Xenopus tropicalis: one gene and its partners. The protein of the gene in region 1 purifies or fractionates together with the protein of each later gene. This does not show direct contact. Links are inferred from orthologs where the notes say so. Each region holds a gene or a part of one and is shown on either strand. Other genes may lie near its edges.

Evidence for each region.
Region 2: the proteins of eps15 (region 1) and gja1 purify together in Homo sapiens (affinity purification with western blotting; 3 studies listed by BioGRID). This does not show direct contact. The link is inferred for Xenopus tropicalis from reciprocal best matches to the Homo sapiens genes EPS15 and GJA1.
Region 3: the proteins of eps15 (region 1) and ap2b1 purify together in Homo sapiens (affinity purification with mass spectrometry; 3 studies listed by BioGRID and IntAct, with this or other methods). This does not show direct contact. The link is inferred for Xenopus tropicalis from reciprocal best matches to the Homo sapiens genes EPS15 and AP2B1.
Region 4: the proteins of eps15 (region 1) and fcho2 purify together in Homo sapiens (affinity purification with mass spectrometry; 3 studies listed by BioGRID and IntAct, with this or other methods). This does not show direct contact. The link is inferred for Xenopus tropicalis from reciprocal best matches to the Homo sapiens genes EPS15 and FCHO2.

The regions. Positions count from the first base shown.
Region 1 is NC_030680.2:96,318,769-96,325,126, reverse strand, and holds the start of eps15 (epidermal growth factor receptor substrate 15), read left to right. Parts: upstream 1-2,475; 5' UTR 2,476-2,581; coding exon 2,582-2,608; intron 2,609-6,358. UniProt on the Homo sapiens protein: Involved in cell growth regulation. May be involved in the regulation of mitogenic signals and control of cell proliferation. Involved in the internalization of ligand-inducible receptors of the receptor tyrosine kinase (RTK) type, in particular EGFR.
Region 2 is NC_030681.2:72,393,027-72,398,087, forward strand, and holds gja1 (gap junction alpha-1 protein), read right to left. Parts: upstream 3,208-5,061; coding exon 2,068-3,207; downstream 1-2,067. UniProt on the Homo sapiens protein: Gap junction protein that acts as a regulator of bladder capacity. A gap junction consists of a cluster of closely packed pairs of transmembrane channels, the connexons, through which materials of low MW diffuse from one cell to a neighboring cell.
Region 3 is NC_030678.2:93,556,447-93,562,173, reverse strand, and holds part of ap2b1 (AP-2 complex subunit beta), read right to left. Parts: intron 4,911-5,727; coding exon 4,764-4,910; intron 3,864-4,763; coding exon 3,718-3,863; intron 2,354-3,717; coding exon 2,224-2,353; intron 178-2,223; coding exon 93-177; intron 1-92. UniProt on the Homo sapiens protein: Component of the adaptor protein complex 2 (AP-2). Adaptor protein complexes function in protein transport via transport vesicles in different membrane traffic pathways.
Region 4 is NC_030677.2:183,066,478-183,072,204, forward strand, and holds part of fcho2 (F-BAR domain only protein 2), read left to right. Parts: intron 1-709; coding exon 710-909; intron 910-2,028; coding exon 2,029-2,093; intron 2,094-2,514; coding exon 2,515-2,679; intron 2,680-4,654; coding exon 4,655-4,677; 3' UTR 4,678-5,727. UniProt on the Homo sapiens protein: Functions in an early step of clathrin-mediated endocytosis. Has both a membrane binding/bending activity and the ability to recruit proteins essential to the formation of functional clathrin-coated pits.

The DNA of each region.
Region 1 (6,358 bases):
ATAACATGTCTCTGCTACTCCTCCAAGTTGTTGTTAATCTGCATTTTACTTTATATGCACTTACTACATAGAATTTATATTTCTAGTGTTGTCTTTGTTCCTCAGGATATGTAGAAGATAAGATGAGGTAAAGTTCAAGCTATGAGAGATTGTCTAAAATTTCATAAATACTGCTAAATTTAGCAGTTTAAAGACAAAAATATATATACACGTTAATTTAATTTAACTATACCTTCCTATATATATATATATATATACACAGCTTGGGTCTAATGCTGCCCTAGACACTGCACTTCTGACACCTCCCCCCTTAGGGCAATAGCAATTGGGAAATTTAGTAATTCACAGTTAAATCTCAGCTAAAGCAGGTAACAAATCTCCCCAAAAAGTCTTCCCAACAAGTGAATCGCAGGTGGGAAAGCATATGCTGCATTTCATTTTCTCAGGTCGCCAAATGATTCCTATGCAGGAAACTTTGGAAAACTAAGAACTACATACACCTTTCCACCCATGATTTAGTTTATTACTGGTGGGAAGGCATTTTGGGGAGATTAGTCGCCCATGGTAGTCAAAATTTAACTGTGGACGACTAATCTCCCCCTTTGCCATTGCCTTTAACAACAAGTGCCCAGTGGAAAGCTGTTTTTTAAAAAATAATATTGGTGCCCAAGATCCAGCGGCGTAACAAGCCCTCAGAGGGGTCCAGCACACAGTTTTTCAGTGCTTTATCCCACCCCCCATCCCTCTTTGTCCATATTCCCCTTCTGCAGCTGGGGAGGGTGATTTTTTAAACGTTTTTTAAATTTACCTCCAAACTATAGAGGAGAAGGTCTGCTAGTGCCAGAATCTGTTCCCTAAAGATGCTGCCCTAGTCCTGGGCCCTCAGGTGCCTTAATAGAAACTACAACCATGCCCACATTATCATAGATTATCATATATAAATAGGATTTAAAAGTGCAGCGATCACTTGGCATTTATATTTTAATGCTGTGCCAACCAATATGTTAGGGAACAGATGCTTTAAAGTGGTTGTTAGCCTTTGAGTTAACTTTTAGTATTATGTAAAGAGTAATAATCTGAGACAATTTGCAATTGGTCTTATTTGTGGTTTTGTAATTATTTTACTTTTTTGCTCAGCAACTCTCCAGTTTGGAATTTCAGAAGTTATCTGGTTGCTAGGGTCCAAATTACTTTAACAACCAGGAATTGGTTTGAATGAGAAACTGATATATTTATAGAAGAAGACCTAAACATAATATAAAGCAACAATAACAATAAAAGCCTTGCAGAGCAATTGTTGTTTGGCTTGAAGTTGGAAAGAGTCAAAAGAAGGCAAATAATTTCAAAACTATAAAAAAAAAAATAATTAGGACCAATGGAAAAGTTGCTTAGAATTGCATTCTATGAAATTAAAAGTTAACAGGGTTTTGGGAGATAGCTGTCAGTACAAGTTGATCCAGGGACTGGTCCGGAAGGAACTTTTTCCCCCTCTGCAGCAAATTAGAGAGGCTTCAGATGGGGTTTTTTGCCTTCCCCTGGATCACCTAGCAGTTAGGCAAGTTATCAGGGGCGGGCCGAGCCGACCGGGCGCCCTAGGCAACCCGGTTGGCTACGTCGCCCCTGCACCGCTACTTTGCAAACCCTCCCCGTGTGTTTTGACACGCATGCGCAGTTTGTGCGCGGGGGGCGCGGTGTGCGATTTGAAATGGCACGATGCAACCTAGGGGTAGGCAGGCGAGGCTGCTGCCTGGCACCCCCCAATCGTTGCGCCCTAGGCAGCTGCCTCTTCTGCCTACCCCTAGTTCCAGCCCTGCAAGTTATACATAGGCATTATGGTTGAATCTGATAGACGTACGTCTTTTTTCAACCTAAGTAACAATGTTCCTATTTACCTTGTGAATGTGTCAACATTTCTATTGTCCTAAACATGGTTTTTGGTTATTTCGGCCACATATTGTGGTGTGCAATGTCAGATCTGCCATTGCCCAGGTCTCTGAGGCTTTACAGTGAGGGTAAGTATCCCAGGTTTTTCTACGTCCCAAACAGGTACCTCGCAATATAACTGCCACCACACCTTGCAAGGAAAAGTATAGAAACACACCAATACTTTTTCTAAATAAAGTATATTATATTCTATAAGCGCCCCCTAACAGCCCGGCTGGAAAAAAACACATTTTGACATTTCCTTACAGTTCCCAACTTCCCAGCCGTCCCGTGACCCCATTCTCCTTACACTTCCAGCGCTCCACCTCCCACTGGTTCATCCCATTAGCACTCAGGCTCTCCCATATTTACTTGCAGCAGCTCCTTCCACTAGCTCTCACACAGTCCCCTCCTCATAGTGGCTCCACCCATTAGCTCTTACACAGTCCCCTCCTCATGGTGGCCCCACCCACTAGCTCTCACACAGTCCCCTCCTCATAGTGGCCCCACCCACTAGCCCTCACACAGTCCCCTCCTCATAGTGGCCCCACCCACTAGCTCTCACACAGTCCCCTCCTCATAGTGGCCCCACCCACTATCTCACACACTCTCCCTCCCCTCTTTCTGTGCATGATGGGCGGATCGGGTCGGAAGCAGCATGGCGGCCTCACTGCCCCGGACACAGGTAACACTTTACTCAGGGCAAAGTTGCGTTGTTCTGTGGGCAACAGTGTACCGGGGCCCACTGGGAGTGTACCGGGAGCAGTGTTTGCTGTACCCGACCAGTTCTTGTTGCGGTGACACACTCGGAGAAGGAGTTTGAAACTATCATAGCCATTCGAGTTCAGTATGACAGAGTATGTGGGCGACACTAACTTGTATGGATTTCACAATTATTGCTGAACTGCAGCTTTTACACTCTCAACACAAGCTTCAGAAAGTAGTGTATAATGAGGAAGTTGGTACGACACTTTAGCAAGTCGCTGGGTCGTATGCTATGGTTTTCGGTATACTCGGTTGGTGTGTCTGTTGTGTTGCTTTGGAAACAGAGAAAGTTGCTTTTTCATGGTATAAATGTTGCGGATACCCATGAAGATGGACGTGAGCTGCGCAATATTTAGTTTCAGTCTTTGCAGTCAGTGGGAGAAGTAGCAGATGACTGTCAGGCAGTGGGGAATCATCAGACTGATCCAGTGGGCGAACTTGTTGAGTGATACATGGGGATTCACAATTTGTCGCTTGCTACATATATGTAAGTTTTATACCCGTTTCATGACATGCAGCCCACCAGTTTACCAGTTAAACCTCTTATTGCACAATTCAGCAACATAACATGGGCGTGTATGGGAATATTTGTAAAACTACATGGAAATCAAAACCTTTTGTAAATGGGACATAATTTCTCTTTAAAGGTCTCTGACATTTCAAATAATTCACTGGGCTTCCTGGATAAAATGCATGTGAATGTCGCAGTACTTGTGGTTCTGCTTTGTGTCTATAAAGATATGACTGTGCACATTTTGGCAACAATTTTTGAGAGGAATATAGGGTGGTTGGGGTGAAGAAAAAGAATGTTAAACTTTACATGCAGGCTTAAAGCTGCTGAACTGCATACCTCCCAACATGTGAATAATCAAAAAAGGAACATAAGGACCTGCAGCAGGGAAACTTTTGTCCACAGGCACTTTGTGGCTACGCCCTCAAAATACTACGCCTATTTAACAAAACATCGCTTTTTACATGGTTGGAATGGCAGTATTGCAAGTAAAGAAGCAATAGGTGTACTAGTGTTTTATGCAGGGACATTGCAGCCCTACATCATCATTCCAGCTGGGTGCAGTCGTTTAAGCCCTTTATACAATGTGAATAATGATTTCGCAGTCTTGTTTTTCAAGACTTGAAATTTGATTTGTGAGGGACTGCACTGGACCAAAAAATGACAACTGTCCCGCAAAAAGGTATCTATCTAATAGGTAACTATTGGGATTATATTATCAAATAGTGCTCATTTATAAACACTTGGCAAATTTGCCCCAAGCAACCAGTCAGTGAGACTCCTTTATCAACACTGGGCAAATTTGACCATGGGCAGTAACCCATAGCAACCATTCAGTGATTGGCTTTATTTAGCCAGCTGCAGGTAGAACAATGGTTGCTCATGGGCAAATGTGTCTACTGTCTATATTTTTTTCAGCTAGCTGCAGGTAGAACAATGAAAGCAAGCATGTGATTGGTTGACACGCATGGGGTTACTCCCCATATGCAATTTTCCCGGTTTTTAGAAATGCCCCCACTAACTTTGTCCTGTTGCAATAACAACAATAGCAACAAATTAGCAGGTAGCATTTACTGGTCACCTTTTTACATCTTATTGCTTGCTATGGATTACAGGTATGGGATCCATTATGCAGAAATGGATCCCAGATCCATTTCTCAGATTTTTAAAATTGATTTCCTTTTTCTTTGTAATAATAAAACAGTACTAAAAATTACATTACACGGGAGCACTTACCGCAAGCCCAAGTGTGCTGTCACGCAGACCCACTCCCAAAGGTCCAAAAGCCAAGCAAAAATAGAAAGATAATAAATAGCGGAGCACCACGAGGATAAGATTAAAATCCAGTCTTTATTCCATCATAGATAAAAGGCACATGCACATCCCTCAGGGTCTAACGCTTTAAGCGTTAGACCCTGAGGGATGTGCATGTGCCTTTTATCTATGATGGAATAAAGACTGGATTTTAATCTTATCCCCCTGGTGCTCCGCTATTTATTATCTTAATAATAAAACAGTACCTTGTATTTGATCCCAACTAAGATTTAATCAATCATTATTGGATGCAAAACAATTCTATTGGGTTTATTAATGTTTTACTGATTTTTTTAGTAGACTTAAGGTATGGAGATCCAAAATACAGAAAGACCCCATTTCTGGAATACCCTTGGTCCCGGGCATTCTGGATAATGGGTCCTATACCTGTACTGGAAAAACTTAGTTGCTCTCATTACAATGGGGGTTTAAATCTTAGAATGTAATTATACACCAAGGCTGTTATAAAGATTACAACTAAATGACAAGTAAACCCCTAAACCGGGGGTGGCCAATGTGTCAATCGTGGTCCACCAGTAGATCCCCTGTGGATTTCTGGTTACAAGTGCTGCGCAAATGCGTACGTACACTGAGTCACGTACGTATGCATTCATGTCGCATTCTGCAGGACAGCGGTCCTCAACCTGTGGGTCGTGACCCCTTTGGGTGTCGAACGACCCTTTCACAGGGGTCGCCTAAGACCATCGGAAAGCACATATTTCTAATGGTCTTAGGAATAATTTTATGGTTGGGGGTCACCACAACATGAGGAACTGTATTAAAGGGTTGTGGCATTAGGAAGGTTGATAACCACTGCCCTAGGAGCAAGTTGACCTTAGGAAACCATATGTTATTAAAATGTGCCCAAAATGCACCTACACATTTTTATGGCTGACATTTTTACTTCTGCATACACAACACACTGCCAGAGATGTATTTGTAGTAAGAAGCCCATTAACAGTAAATTGGGCCAAAAATCAATATAGCTTTTCAAAGTACACATTCTGAAAAGAAATGCTATCTGTCTCTCTACTCTACATCCAAACTTAAAGCTTTGTTTACGTTAACGTTAATATATATATATATATATATATATATATATATATAATAAATATTATAGACTGTCATATAAAGCAGGGCACACTCACAGGACTTAAAGGTATGTTGAAAATTTTTTTGTTATTCCAACGTTACGGTCTTCCTTGAGACCTTAGTCAAGGAAATCCTCCAAAGCTTATACCCTGGAAAATGGCTCCAAAAAGTGCATATGTAACATAAACTTATCCCTTACTAGCTCTTAAATGCATTGGCAAAATATTCTACATGTGACATTTGACTTTTGAAACAAACCCTGCCTTCAGTTCATCTAGCCGTAAGGTAACCCCATGTAAAGCAAGGATTGTGAAACTGTACATATTTTGCTAAATTACAGCACCTCCTACTACTAGTTCTTGCGAACAATGATGACATGCTCTAACAATAAATATATCTGATATCTCCTTTGTATAACGTTACTACAAACTTTACTACAAACTGATAAGGTATCAAAAGATATGTGTCTTTAGTGACCGTAAAGCATAAATCCAGAATAGTGCAGTATGCAATAAAATCACTCGTCACACTGGACACTGATAAACATTATAAATAAAAAGTGTATATGGGTGTATACATGTTGAATTGTGGATTTTTTGGGTGTAGAGTACTAAATAGCCCACCCATCCCCCCAAAAAGTGTGTCAGCATTAAAGTGTAGCATGGAAGGTCATCATGTTGGTAGGGGGCAGTGCTGTGGGGCTCATTATGCAGAGACAACAGCAAATAAGTAATTTTCACATACATGAATGTG
Region 2 (5,061 bases), on another chromosome or scaffold:
CCTGGCTCACTGTAAATAAAAAGTAGAGGTGTTAAGCAGATGCATTAATGAAAATAAATTATTTCTAAAGTGTATCATGGAACAAGTTGTATTCCAGACTCCCTTGCATTCCAAACAACAAAATCCCAAGTGCAAACATTATAACAGTTGGAACAACCAAACCACAATTAAATGTACAAAATTAATCTCTTCAGAATAATGAAGTCTAGTTTACAGTACACAATTACAACATAATTCACAATAATGGGCCAGCAGATTCCAAGACCCATGCAGCTACATTTAAATCATGTTCCAGCTCTAAACATTTTTAGTTACATTTTTCAAAAAATAACCACATGAAATCTGTTTACAGTACTACATACAATCATTCAAGCATCATTGATTACACATTAATGAAATTAATCCATTTATGCTAGAAAAGCCTTTCTCACACTACAAAAAAAGACACATTTTCAGATATATCCTAAGCTGAGTTATTGCATCGAAAATGGGACACAGGGGGGAAATATTTTGTATAAAGAAAAACATTTTTTAAATGTGCTGGAAACTGCACAGAAGGAATTTGTAAATTTGTAAACAAATTCTAAAGAAGCATTCACCGATTCACTGATATACAACGTACCTCTTCTATATCTTTTAACACAACTTCTTTAACAAATGCATTATTACTTTTTTCACATCACTGTTATTTCAGAAACATCTTGAAACATATTTCCTGTAGATTAAAATGCATACTATATTCTGGGCTCTTAAATTGTTACAACGATAAAAAAAATATATATATAATAGGGAACTGGCTGGCAAAATGACATGTTAATTCCCTGCATGTTATTCCAGAAATATTTACCTCAGTTCCTTGAACTACACGTTACAAATGTATCTTACCAGAAATTAGCCACAGAAACGTGGTTTGTAGGCTTTATCATGCTTCATGATTGAGGACACCACTAGAACATGGCTATACTATAAAGGCATTTCATGAGACATATGCCTTTGACTAACATCTTCTTCTGATTCACTGCATACTTCAGCTCAAAATGATGATTAATTTGTCAGACCCATATTGACTGCCATGCTTGAGAACCAAACTTCAAGCAACCCCAACCCTTAACACACACATATACATACAGCATCATAAAATATTATTCAATATTGCACCAGCAAAAAAAATGTAAGCAGTTCAAAAGGTGCTTCTACCAGTTGGGTTGCCGAATAGTTTACCACTAAGGTCCTACTTCAGAATTAAAATGGGTTTCACATTTAAGGAGCCTTTACTATGATATTATTCCACAAATAGACATAGGGAAAATATTAATATAATATAGGAGATTTCGCAATAATTTCTAATAGTCCCACACAAATAATGCTGTTGTTGGAATGTTATAAGGATCTGGTGGGAAAGATGACCCTATAGTTACATTTGGTTCTTTTAAAACATGATCCTTATGGAATTAAGTAGTTTTTCATTTTTATAATTAATTGTCATCTTAGTTAATCACTGTAGTATCTGGGATTTGACATCCCCTATTGAATGTCTGGGCCATTCAGAAAGGATTGACTAGGCTTGTTGCGGAATAATAGTGCTGCTTTTAAGAAGGCATATGATCAAGCAATTCAATTACATAAGCATAATTTTCTTAACCAGAAAAAGAGAAGGGGCAAGGAAAAATGCTAGTCATCTTGAGAAAACATCCAGGTGTCTTTCTCCAGAATTCATTCTAAAAAGTTCCTAACAGTCAAGCTATTGTTTAAGTTATTTATAAAATCATTGTAAGAAATCTCTCATCTCATAGAAGGCTGACACTAGTCGTAAAACAACATTGCTCACATCAAATATTTCACTTTTTGGGTGAATTGAAAACACATATGTTGTCTTAGACATACATTCTAAAAAAATATTGTATGAGTCATTTAAGACTGTAAAATTTGTATGAGCTACTTAAATATCAAAGCGATTTTCCCTCGCCATATAAAAGTTCATCAAAAAAGTTTGTTAAATCTCATTTGAGAGAATTTAGTACCACCTCCACTCTTAAAATGTGCCTTCTGGTAATACATCAAGATTGATTAGATCTCTAAATCATCAGGTCGAGGTCTGCTACTTGCATGACTGCTTGCTCTACTAGATGGTCTTTGGTCCAATATAGTCAGGGGCTGCATCTCATGTCCTGGTGCCATTTTCTTAGTATTCTGATGTTCATCCGAAAAATCAAAAGGCTGTGCATGAGTGTTAGAAATTGTGCTTCCAGCCTGCCCCATCCTGTTTTGTTCTGCACTGTAATTGGCCCAGTTTTGTTCACTTGCTTGCTTGTTATAATTGCGACAAGAAGAAGGATTTCTTTCTCCAGTAACAAGTTTGTAACCAGGTGGAGACATGGGAGCAGTTGGAGAAGAACAGCCATTAAAATAAGCATATTTAGGGGAGCCACATTCCTTTCCTGGAACCACAGAATCATTTGTGGCAGAATATGGGTCTTTTTTCCCCTTGATGCCATCTTTGATACTTTTGTAGGTGACATAGAACAGCTCGATGATATTTAGGGCAAGAGAAACTATAGAAACTATTAACATGAACCAGATAAAAATGGTCTTCTCTGTGGGTCGAGAAAGGAAACAGTCCACTTGATGTGGGCAAGGATCTCTTTTGCATGTGTAGATGGCACTTAAGCTAAACCCATACATGTACCATTGAATGAAAATAAAGCCAACTTCAAAGACTGATTTAAACAAAATGCTGATGATGTAAGTGCGAAGAAGTCCACCTCGCATCTTAACTTTTCCATGCTCTTCAAGGCCATATTTGAATTTCTTTATTTCAATTTGTTTAAGGTGCATGTCTACATTACCACCTTCATTCTGAACCATTTTAAGTTCTTCTTCTTTCCTGTTTAGCTTCTCTTCTTTTCTCATCAAGTAAAACACATGGGCTAAATAAAGGAGGGTAGGCGTTGAGACAAATATGATTTGAAGTACCCAGAAACGCACATGAGAGATCGGGAATGACTTATCATAGCAAACATTTTCACAACCTGGTTGTTGAGTATTGCAGACAAATGCTGATTGTTCATCTCCCCAGGCTGACTCCACTGCTGTCCCTAATAAAAGGATTCGAAATATAAATAGGACAGACAGCCACACCTTCCCTCCTGCAGTCGAATAGGCTTGAACTTTGTCAAGAAGTCTTCCTAAGGCACTCCAGTCACCCATGCTCAAAAGTGGTTACCTAAAATCCCAAAAAAGTACACATCAGTATTATAAATAAAAGTAATATCATTAGAGAGTAACTGTGGAACAACTTCTTACATTGCAAGCTACTGAATGATTGAATGTTCTTAATATTTTTAGGCAATATTTAGGCAATGTTCATTACACTCTAAGCAAGTAATTGAGTAAAAGTTATGGTGTTTTGTGAAAAATGACCATATATATAGTTACATTGGGTTGAAAAAACACCATCAAGAGTTTATCAAGTTCAACCCTTCCAAGTAAACCCCAGCACACATAAACCTATACTTACCTATCTATATACTCACATACATAAACCATATATACCAACACCAATTTAGTATCACAATAGCCTTGGATACTATGCTTATTCAAGAACTCATCCAGGCCCCTCTTAAAGGCATTAACAGAATCTGCCATTACAACATCACTAGGAAGGGCATTCCACTACCTCACTTGAACAAACCACCTACCCTGCTTTAAATGGAAGCTCCGTTCCTCTAAAGGGGTGGCCTCTGGTGTGCTGGTTGTTTTTGTGGGAAAAAAAGAACATTCCCTATCTGCCTATAATCTCCTCTAATATACTTGTACAGAGTACCATAAAGTTATAATTCCTATTTTTTATATCATAATACTTTTACCACAGAAGGAACTCATAGATATGAAGAATGCATGAAAAATGCAAAATATAGAGATTGTTATTTATTTTTTTGTTCGAGTAATGAAAGAATGTAAGAGAGAAATATATACATAGCATTAAAAGTTATGAAAAGAAAAAATAAATTGAAAAAGAAGAGTTGCAAAGAGGAGTGGCAGAGATGAACATGGTATAAAAATGGACATACAAAGAAGGAAGTAAAAGCATAAAAAGAAAGGTGTTGAGGTACTGCAAAGAAAGAAGATCATTTATATTTTACAAGACTTTATTTTGTGTGGTTCTGGCACTTAACGATGATATAAAGCCTTAAGGCCAAAATCTTAAAGATCAACCATCTTGTTGTTATCTTACATTTTGGCTTTCCTATGTTACACTGTATGCAAACGTAATGTCGGAAGATATATTTATTTACTGAAAACTGTGTTTAAGCTTTTCAATTTCAAATAGAAACAAGGAAGCTTATAATACACAGGTCACAACCCTAATTTTGCTCAGCTACATCTCCCAGCATGCTTTAACCCTTAACAATATGGTAAAGTATGCTGGGTTCAGTTCAGCAACCACTGACTAAAGTATAGTTGAGCAACAATGTTTTGTTCACCTTTAAAATGAGATGCAAACAGTGTTGCTCACCCAAACTTAACTTAAATTTTGGTAGACTATAACCCCAGTATACTTTAACAAATTATTAAAGGTTAAAGCATGCAGTTCAGCAACATAAGCAATGCTGTTAAAAATGTTGCCTTCTCTGGAGGCAGTGCCCTACTATATGCAATGCTGCACCCTCTTTTCTAACCTTCAACCTACTGACATTTGATAGTATAGTATAATATAGGCAAAGTAAAATCTCACAATAAACTCCCTGTTTTAGAAAACAACAATGTTAATTAGGTAGTGCTATTAAGCAGGGCTCTTATTTATTGCATAATACTTTGGCTTCTGCCATTCAGTTTGGATACCAGTGTTGGAAAGCTTTGGGAATCAATGGAAGAGTTTCTGAAGGTTGTATACGTTATTTAAGTGTACAACCTTCAGTGTATAACCAAGTGTTTACCCTAGGCCAGTGTCGGACTGGCCCCCCAGGATACCAGGAAAACTCCCGGTGGGCCCAGGTGTCAGTGGGCCCTCCTGCTCACCCTACCATTTGCCTTGTATCCCTATACCATGGCCATTACTCA
Region 3 (5,727 bases), on another chromosome or scaffold:
AAACAAACGATGATAAATTTACAATATTGCAAACTGATGTGCACCCTACAGAAGAAGTCCCTTTAAACCTTACATATCAGATCTTTCCTTACCCATTTTGCCATCCTCCACAAAGAGCACATGTAGAGGGATAAGACAACTGAAGTAGAACACGTCGATGTTATTTTTCACAGCCACCTAGAATACACAAAAGAGTAGTGTGAAACGTAAGAATTATGGCAGGTTCACAGCAATCCCTAACCTAATGTACAGGCTTCACAACAGCCATTAACACGTTCAAAGCAGCCTTTCAGTCTTTTAGAATTCACCTTCTCAGCTACATGCACAAAACCAACAACTGTCTACAGTTTTATAAATAAGTGGATGGCTTTTTAATTACAGTTGAGTATTTTTGTGTGTGCTAGAATCCAAATGTATTGTGTGTAGGTTCTTTTTGACGCATCATATGTTTGCACTATGATACAACTATTGGCTAATAAATATAAACATTACATAACCTTCTGGGGTCACGTGTACATATATGTGTTTAGATAAGAAATGTCCTGAAGCTTGCTTGATTTAGCATTTACTCTGAATACACTGCTAACTCCATCCAAACTATACTTAGAAAGCAGCTTTTGATGTGCTCCCCAGAGTACTCATAAATAAAAGAAACCCTGACAGCCAGCTAATACCCAAGAGACAGGACACTGCCTCAGTATGGCCTTAGCCAAGTCAATTTTCTAGCTACATCTAACTGAATTATAGTACATCAAGTGGCAGCTTCAATGACACATCTCCTATCCACTGAGTTATATGAAAGTGTGCTATGGTTCTGTTTTATTCCACACCCATGTACAGTACAGCAGTGCTCCAAAAGTAACATGCATTCAACATGCATTAATCAATATCCATGTAAATAAATGTCATCTTCTTTAAAAAAACATCTTCCCTATAATACTTCTTTATTTGGGGATACTTTTACAGAAGTGTTAGAGGTCAAGGAGACAGTGTTGTGCCCCCACTCCTTATCTAATAAACTGTAAATTAAACACCTCAGGTCTAAGTTACTAATAACAGTATGTAGCTGCAGACCTAGATTATACACCAGTAGCATCTTTGCTTTCTTTTTAAAGCATAATTAGCCAGAATAAGTGATGTGTGATTATTCTAATTTCACCTTAGACAGACAGTGGGTCTTATTTATAAAGATCTCAGCACCAATAAAGTGCTCTTTATTAGTTGACTGGAGTTATACATTTCATCTATAAGCAGAAGGAGCACCACTACATGTATGGACACTAGGCAAATCTGCACCTCAGCAGTAACCCATAGCAACCTATCAGTTATTATGTTTTTATAGCCAGCTACAGGTTAAACACTGAAAAAAATCATCTGATTGGTTGTCATGGGTTAATGCCTAGGTGCAAATATGCCCAATGTTTATAAAGGACCCCCCAGTAGCTTATGAATTTCGAAAGATATACATAAAATGTAGGTTTAAAAAAAGGCATACAATCTAGGCTGCAAAATCAAATCCCAAAAAAACAACGAATACAAATTTTGTCTCAAACTGTAAAAGCTATAATATAAATAAAAAGCAATAATAGAGTTGCAGGTCTGTCATGGGTACTTGATTTCTGTAGATGCCTCAGTAAAAATCAATAGAGTAAGCAAGTGGATCTATGAGAATACATAGATTTCTAAATGGATATTCAGTAAATTTGCTTCAATTAATGTCAGCCTCGGCTTTATACACATATTACAGTTCTTTATTGTTGTGTCTACTGCTATCTGGCTCTACCAAGGTTGTTGTTGGGCAGTAATGTAGGTCAGGGTTGTCTGACAACCGAAACATGATTTTTATGACATGTCCCCCCATCATAACTTCAATACAATCAAGCTTATGAGCAAAGTGTTGGCTGGTATGCAAAAATGTTGGATGCCACTACATAGGTGATAAAATCCATGGTCTTAAAGGTTTTTGTTGCGGCAATTTAAAGTGGCAACTCCATTGTTTTAAAAATCATGATTCGTCCTGGTCCTGGGTTTCCATGAAAAACTTTTATTAATTCTACAGAAGCTATTTAAATCCCAAGTTAAATATCATCTATCCACAAACATTTGCATACATGCACGCACACACTGTTTATGTTATGAATGGTAATAAAGATCTTCAGCCCCTACTAATTAACTTCATGATCACAACCACTACTGTAATGTAAAAAAAGAGATATATATTACCTGGAGATTGTTAAGGGGCTCCATTTTCATAACAGGCCCAAGGGTGTTTAGAGGAAGAGAAATGTCAATACTTTGGTTGGGCATGAGGGGAGTATGAATCGCCAGAGGGGCACTGGGAATGACACCAAAGCTAAGGGAAAATAGAAAGAAATTAGACACTTCTGAACAGTCCAAATGCCATGAAATAATTATTAGGGTAACATTCCTTAGAGGAGAAGGAAAGGTTAAAACTAATTAAGCTTTAACAGAAATGTCTATGTAAATACAGATAGTCCTCTATCAAAAGAAACACAGTATTTCTTGTCTCCTTTTTTGTAAATATGTTCTTCTGGTATCTGACTTTAGAGTCAGCGCCGTTCTCTTCTCTCGCCCCTCTCCTGATTCCTCATCCCATAAGGCTCTTTACTCAGGTATGGTAATGCTTTCTGCAGAATAAATAGTGTTCTAGGTGGCACTAATATGGTGAATCTATTGGCAGTAAAATCCTTCTCCTTTAAGCCAACTACTGTACCAAAATGTGCTGAGAAGTCGGCATGCTACAGAAAACAGCTCAGAACCTGCAGTAAATAAAGCACTAGGGAAAGCAAGTGGTTCTCACCACTCTGCCCTACAGTGGCTATACAGCCAAAATCCAACTGCTTCCATGTAGTACAAGTACCAAAGCATGGGATAAAAGTGGCTAGACTGTGAAAAGCAGTGCACTACACAGAGAATGTAAATCAGCCAATTAGATGACATAATGTGTGCTTCATAATCCAACTGTCCAGGGTCCACGCATACAGCAACCTTCAGTTGACATTACATTAAGAAAATGAATCTATCACAACACCTATTAAGGTAGGCAAGAAAAGCAGTGGTCCAGTCTCAACTAAACAGAACATGCAAATGTTTGTCTGTCCTCTTTCCCACAATCTTTGTGGGTCTTCTTTACCCTTTATATTAGTCAATATTTGTTCCTAGTTTGCATGTACTGAAATGCCCCTTCAGAACTGTACAATTTTGTGTTAAATATCAGTGTTTTATAAATACTTCAAAACTGGCTCACAGATCAGAGATCTACAGAACAGTTCATTTATGCTAAATGTTATTTAAATGTGAATATTTCATGGGAAGAAGCATTAGTAAGAATGATCAGTTACCATTGGGTGGATTTCTCATATGTTTGTCCTTTTCTAACAATATTGTTAAATATTAACATTATATCTGTATTATATTTTATTTATATGCCATGGGGCATATAGAATTGGACACAAGGAAACAAAGAGCCCAGAAAGATAAAGTAATAAAATATGAAAAATGACTGCAATTCTGAAGAACCCAGTGGACTGATCTAGAAGCTAATCTTTGTGGGTGAATGTGATGAGGGACCGTAGGCTATAAGCTTATACACAGGGGCAGGGACAGATATGAATGACAAACAATCCGTGTAAAGCACTGCATAAACATGGTAGCCCTATATACATAACAGATAATAAAAAATTCTAAGTGTCTTACCTGTTCTTATTAAACTGTATTGCAAAGTCAGTCATGTGCTGCAAAGCTTTGTTGGTGAAACTCATATCCATGTAGATGTGTGCTTGCCTGTGGGAGAATGTACCAGAGATCTCCAAGCCTTTGGCTTTTACAGCAGGTAACCAGACCTGGGAGAAAAATTCCAGGGAACCATGAGTTTTAAGAGGTATTATTTACATCACAAGTTCATAAACCCTCATACATTTACCAGCAGTGTGTACCAATAGCTGTAAATGCATTAACTGCAATTCAATAAATATAATTAGAATTTATTTCTTCCAAAAATACACAGCCATACAACATAGATCTGCACTCAGAAGGTAGTTAAATGCACTTTAAATTAGCTCAGACTGCTTTGAAATAAGTGTAGGCCTGTGAATTTGCAAATATACAATACAACCTGCTTTTATGTGCTTCAGTACATCTGAAGATTCCCAGTGTTTTACAGAAAGCATAATGACAGTACCAAAATAATTTTGTCATAAAGAATTTTCTTGTTATATTCTATGAAAGTGTGGGCTTATTTATAAAAAAACTTTTTTCAAAGCAGATTATAAACCAAATGCAGAATTTTACTGGTTTTACCACCACCGCCACTTTATGTTTATATCTAAGGCTAATGCCACACAGGGCCAATTCTTGGCCTGTGGATAAACATAATGTCGGCTTCCCGGTGGAGGCACAGGGAAAAATTGATGCCAGTGTAGGGGCTGATTCTAGGCCTGTGTTTTTCCACAGGTTGAGAATCAGGCCCTTTTGGCATTAGCCTTAACTATTCTGGTCTGACAGCTAAGACTGTAGCAAAGTATAAGGAGGAACAAAAGTAAATAGGAGTGTGATCAGCTGGGGACTGGGAAAGATTGGTAGGCATTGGAAAACAGGTTTCTGGAATGAGAAATGTACTGAGGCAGAGAGGGAATACAACTGGGCAGCTTCATCTAGTTAGATTGCATGTTTATTTGCTATACAGCCAATAACAATACTGCTCAGTAACAGTCTACAGAAATAAATGTATAGAACCAACATACAGCTTTTTGTGATACATATCCTCCAGGCGCCATCCCAATACCAGAAGACAGTTCAAACAAATCATTCAGTCCACTGCTAACCACCGCTGGTGTAGGGGACGGAGCAAATGTTGCTGGAACGGAGGAGGGAATGAAGGTTTGCCCAACCTGGGATACAACAAAATAGCAAAACAACCTTATAACTGCCAATTGGGTGTAGATTACAGCTTTCTCATGCGCTGTGCGGTTACTTACAAATACAAAGAATGAACATTTTTTGAGTTAAAGTTTACTTTAACTCTGCTCCAACTACGTTATAATATAACTAAATGAACCTCAGGGAGTTTATATTTTTTTCAGTTCAAAGAATTGCAAATAGCTCTGTACAGTTTAATGCCTCATCTTTTTACCTGCAGAACAGATACCTTCCTTTTAGCAACTCGTTTATATGAATAGCAATGCTTTCTAGGCAGCACTTTAAGTAAACCATTGTTCTCCACTGGAAAGCTCTTACAAGGGAGAGTTGAGGTGGTCATGGACAGTAGTAAGGTATACTGACACATGCTGTAACCTGCTGAGTTATATGGCCTTCCTATAATTTAAGGGCAACGTTAGTCCTTGCAATTTTAATACATTTTCTGTGCAGTATTCTAGTTTAGTGCTTACTTGTCTGTACTTCTGGCCACGGTTACTTAGTGTTATTCTACATTAAAACAAAAACCCAAGCTGGAATGGACCTACAAATGGGGAACCAATATAATAATGCTCTGTGATCTAAGGAATTTAACTTAGAAGCATTAGTCCTGTTCTGTTTAATATATGTTCTATATTTATACAATGATCAAATTACTATGGCACTTTTAGATTTTCCTGTTTGTTCTTGCTTTCCTGTACATACTGTGGTTTCTTTGACATTCTGTACAACTGTTCCTGACATCAAATTTGTATTGAAGGGAACATGGAGGCATAAGTACTGTGTGACCAT
Region 4 (5,727 bases), on another chromosome or scaffold:
CATGTAAGTCGCCGGCGGGATGGCAGACGCGGCGGCGCAAATCGCCAAAAAAGACTCGCGAGTCTTTTTCGGCGATTTCCCAAAATCGCCTCGCCGCGTCTGCCATCCCGCCGGCGACTTACATGTTCGCCGGTGGGATGGCAGAGGGAAGGCAACTCGGGGAGATTAGTCGCCCGCGAGCAGGGAGTTTTGCCGCGGGCGACTAATCTCCCCGTGTACCAGAGCCCTAAAGGAACAGGTCACAAATATTGAATGGGGTGGAAGGAAAACCAAAGTGGCAATATAGAGAGTGATAAGTAGAAGGATAAAAGGAGAGGGCAGACAGTAGGCGTGGGTCCACTTTAACCATCTGAGAAATTCTGACCCTGCCGATTGACAGTTGCATTATTAAATATTGAAGAAATTTGCCTGAGAGCACAGGCAACACATCATGGAGATAGGCAATCTTTAAATGCTTTCTAGGCAGAGAGCTTTCTAAATTTCTTTCTGCTTTGACTGTGCAATGTCCTAGCAAAAGGTTTTGTGTAAAAGCATTACTTTCTAATGGAAAAAAAACATCTGTATGCTTACAGATCAATTAAAAACAAAGGTGCCATTTTACTGAATTGATGTTCTGTACTGCATGTTAATTAGGGTGACTTGCCTGACAGTGAGAGGGTTTCCTTGATTTTTTATCAAATGCTAATGTTTAACATATATCAACTCTTAGGTTTTATCAAATGGAATCCAGTCCACTCCTTTGAACCTTGCCACCTATTGGAAATGTACCTCGAGCACTACCGATGTCAGGTTAGACTACAAGTACAACCCAGAATCCATGGCTATGCCCAGCATCTTGTCTAATGTGCAGGTGTTGGTTCCGGTTGATGGCGGAGTAACAAGCATGCAGTCACTGCCTTCTGCCATATGGTGAGAGACACATTCATCTCTTCTAAAATCTTAGGTTCCCAGAATAAAGGGCTGGCCTTTGGCTACCTGAGGAAAGGTCCGAGGTTAATGCTTATTTACTGTCCTAAATATACATAGAGCTCTGTATAACCTTGTTATGAGAGAATGGGGGCCTGATCTAATTGTGATCCACAAAACAGGGCTTAAACTCCGCTGCCTGATTCTAAAAATGAAACTTCTGGTTGTTGATGGGATGCTGTGAGTTGTAGCTGCAGCTTTAGCAACATCTTGAGGGCCACAGGTTACTGTGACAACTCTATGTACATACATTTATTATATTGGACTGTGAAGCATGCAAAAATGCATTCTTCAGCATCTTCTATAGGAAAAGAACAGGGCCAGGACTAGGGGTAGGCAGACGTGCCTTAGGTGCAACACTGGTAGCCCTAGAGGCAGCCGACCGAAGGAGCAGTGGCCACAAGCGGCAGTTTTATAACAGTGCAGTGATGTCAGACCCCTCTCCCTCACCTTGTCACCCCTCCCCGATTGCTGAGCGCTGTTGAGGCGTCACCTTGGGTGCCCTTTGTACACTCTGCCTGGCCCTGGAAGAGAGATTCCCCATACATCTTTATAGGAAGTGCGGGCTATTGTGACCTGCTGTGCAAAGTGGGACCCACAGCTCTACAGGACCCTGATGGGCTGCTCCCACTGCTACAACCCATTTATATAAAAGGTTTTATAGGTCTTGACGCAAACATACAAGGTAGTACAGGTATAAGGGGAGTCTACTAAAAATCATTAAAACATTATTTAACCATAATAGGATTGTTCTACCTCCAATAAGGATGAATTATATATTTGTTGGGATCAAGTACAAGGCACTATGTTATTATTACAGAGAAAAAAGTATAAATATTTTTAAAAATTTAAATTATTTGATCAAAATGGAGGCTATGCCTGTAATTTGGAACTTTCTAAATAACAGATCCAATACCTGTACTATGTCTAATAAGCCCTTATATTGTGTGTTAGAACCCACTTATTCTTTAGATCGAGACATCAATGTTAAATACCATATTAATAAATTTGCTGTGTTCAGATGTTATGAAGGTTCATATGCTGCTCTTTGTTTTTATCTAGGAATGCAGAACAAATGAAGGCCTTATGGAAAGTCTCTGTAATTTCAGAAAAATCTGAAAATGGAGGCAAGTTCTGAAATATTTTTCTGGCTAAAATTAGCTTTAAAGCCTGTGCCTGATCATACAGAGTCTCCAGCAGGCAGTGTACTGGGAAACATGATTTATTAGAGTGCTCGGAAGATACACAAGCACCTTGATTGAACAACAGTACAGAAAATTACACAGCAAGGGGGTTGTTTAAACAGTTTTTGTTATATATTCAAGTGCCCCTTAGAGAAACACATAGAAAACAGAAGGGACCGTTTACAGTGGTTTAATTCAATGCCTGTGGATATAAAACATAGCTTGCTTATTCCTTTGTGAATATGTTCTGTATTTATCATTTTTGGTCATTGGCCATATACGCAGCATTCCAAGTAGCTATACTTTTAAGTAAATGCTTAAGCATTCGTGGATTTAATTCATTATTTGATTTTCTCTCTTATAGGAGCTGGATCTCTTAGGGCAAAATTTGACCTCTCTGATGGTCCTAGTAACCCGAGCACACTTGCAGTGCAGTTTGTTAGTGACGGATGCACGCTTTCTGGAGTTGATATCGAGCTGGTAGGGACGGGATATCGCCTGTCTTTAGTCAAAAAGAGGTTTGGCACAGGTAAGGGCACGTTCTTATGTTTTAAAAGGAAAATGTTTACAAAAAAAGAACGTTGATTTGTGCTGTGTACAGAGGAATGCCCAGGATAACATGCTACAGTGTGTGTTTATAGATAAGTGTCTGTACAGGGATGATAGGCAATTATATAAAACTTGCTATTTTGGCTAACTATGGTGCGCAGTGTTATGAGACCATGGTACTTATAATGTATGAGCCAGAGTATCAGGACACCTGCCTGTCCAACTTCTCATTCCCAAACCAAGGGTATTAATATTAAGTTAGTTTTCCCCTTTCTGCTATAACAGCCTCTACTATTCTGGAAAGGCTTTTGTCTAAATGTTGGTACAGTCCTGGGATTTGCCTCCATTTAGCCACAAAAGCTAGCTACTATTTTTTCCTAGCTGTTTATAGGCCCATTTTTACTCTAGATTGTTTCCAAGTTTTCCAAGCTGTGTTGAGAAAAGGGTTATGTTATGATTCCTCTGGTATGCTGTGGTGGGGCAAATGAAATGCCAGATGTTTGGGTGGTCATCCTATACCTGTTGGGAAAGTGATGGAGTGTGTGTGAAGTGTTCCTTGGATTTCCTTGTCTCAGCGGGCCCAGTTGGCGAGTTGCATTCTGTGGGAAATGTGGTAGAGAGAGCTTAGGTCCTGGAAGAAATAGGGAACATTTATGTAGTTCCGTGTAGTTTTGTTTAACACTCAAATGAAATAAGAACTTATTTTCAACTTTTCCTGGAACTGTTAGACTGAGACGAAGGCTAGAGTCCTATGTCTCCAGGTATTTTCAAGAATTTCAAGGGGACGAGGGGGTGGGGGAAAAGTCTTAGATAGGTGGTAGGGAGTTGATGAATGCTAGAGTTTTATAGTATCCAAGCTCTGGGGACAGGGGAGTAGGAGGTTAGTTAGGGAGTTGATGAATGCTAGAGTTTTATAGTATCCAAGCTCTGGGGGCAGGGGAGTAGGAGGTTAGGTGAGGGAGTTGACCTATCTGCAGAAAAGCTAATTGAAAAAGACTTTTGGGCTAGAGATGTGGAGAAACCTTTTAAAATGAGGTGATCATGGATGTCCACTGTTAGTTTCCTAGCTTTTCTGTAGGGTGAGAGTTGAGTTATCTTGAAAGTTGAGAAACTTTGCTAGGACAGGTGTATGTCATTGTTGTTCACTTGGTTGTAATTGCAGTGTGTTAGGGATCTTGTTAGATAATAGTTGAAGAAAATCTGGTACTTTGATTCTGGGATGCCAATAAAGCAATGATTGCTACAACGTCCCCTGTTTTCTAGATTGTCTATTTTCTCTGATTGGGTGGAGATTGTTCTATCATGTTCTGTACTGTGCTTTGGAGTTGGATAACTCTGTCTTCCATATTGCTGATCCAGGGGTGGGGTGGAGAAGCAGCAAGCTTGTCACTGTTTGCTGGACAGGTCAGACTCCTTAATTCCAGAAAGGGCTACTGCCAAGGAATCAAGTTTCTACTGTGTGGTCCCTGAATATAAAATGTGCTGGTGTTAGCTGTTGGCCAGAAGTGAATGGGCTGTGTGGGTCCTGGATAGGTGCGGCCTAGTAGTGTCTGTACAATGTTGATCTGTGGCTCAGTGGTTGAATTCCTCTTGTATTGCCCCGCCCTCCGGAAGTCCTCTGCTTAATTTATTTAATAACATATTCCACATCTGAAATTTAGTGTCTTAGTTACTCTCTAATAGTAGTAGTCTGTGCAGGCCATGGAACTTTGAGGTGACACTTCCCTCAAGTACCTCTACACACATTTCAGTGAGTCATGTGACCTCACTATGCACCAAAACTGATGACATCACTAAGCACTGTTTATAAGGATATCATTTACTGAAGTATCTATAGTTGAAAAGCACAGCAACATGAAAGTATGGCTCACTCTATAGTGGAATGCATTGGACTGCACTGTAGGAATGTTGTGTAAAAAGTAATTAAGCATTTTTTGTTTTGTTTTTCTTTCCAGGAAAATACATGGCAGAATGTTGATTTTATCCCATGTGAGATCACATATACGCAGAGCAGCCTTCCTGTTAACTTATCGAAAACTCTTCCATATTGCTGTTTTAATTATAGATATATATTTTTTAATTTTTGACTTATTTTAGAAGGTATTTCTATATTGCTGCCAACTTTGGAACATAAAAAAAAATGCACTTTTTTTAAGGAGTCATTTTGTTGGAATATCTACTACATGATGATGTAGCACTGAAATTTTCTTCAATCGTGGTTAAAAATTATGATTTTTTTTTTTTAATTATTTTATGGCAATATTTTGCATTTCTATTAAGACACAAGTTACATATACAGACCCATGCTACTGTATATAGAATGTATACCATGCGAGCACCTCTGTCAGTCCTTAGCCTTATATTTGTTTGCAAAACTTTCTGGTGCAACTGACAAGTGTCTTTTACATGATCTAAGTTAGTCATGGACAACCCATGCCCCCCAAATGTTGATGAACTACATCTCCCAGGATCCCACCAGCAGAAGACTCTGAGGGTTGTAGTGAAGCAACATCTAGAGGGCTGCAGACTGCTTATGCTTGATCTAATTGCTTAGTATATTAATGGGTTTAATATATGGGTCTTCTTGATTCAATATTAGTAGTCACAAGTGCAGCCCAAACCTGTTGCATTATTAAATGCAGCATCTGCAGCCATTGGGAAGCCTCTGCAGGATAAACCGCATGCAGTGCAGAAGGGATGTGCAGTAAATAGCCTACCATTATAACTAGAGCTAAGAGGGTGTTGGGTTTAATAACCCTGCAGAAAAGCTATACTTTGTTATTTTTGTGCGTCCCACTCAGTTGCCAAACAAATGTGTTTTTGTGCGTAGCACATTAACATGCCAAGCCTCAATTTTCCTGCAGTCTCCTTTATTTTCCATCCCTTCATGCGCAGAGTATATGGCTAAATGGGATACATCATGCCATGCTGGGCTGTAAGGTACTGTGGCCCCAGATGCCATTGGGTTTGTACCCTTATTCATCCTCTCTGGGATGTTTCAAGTCAGACTGAGTGGGGCACTGCAAGG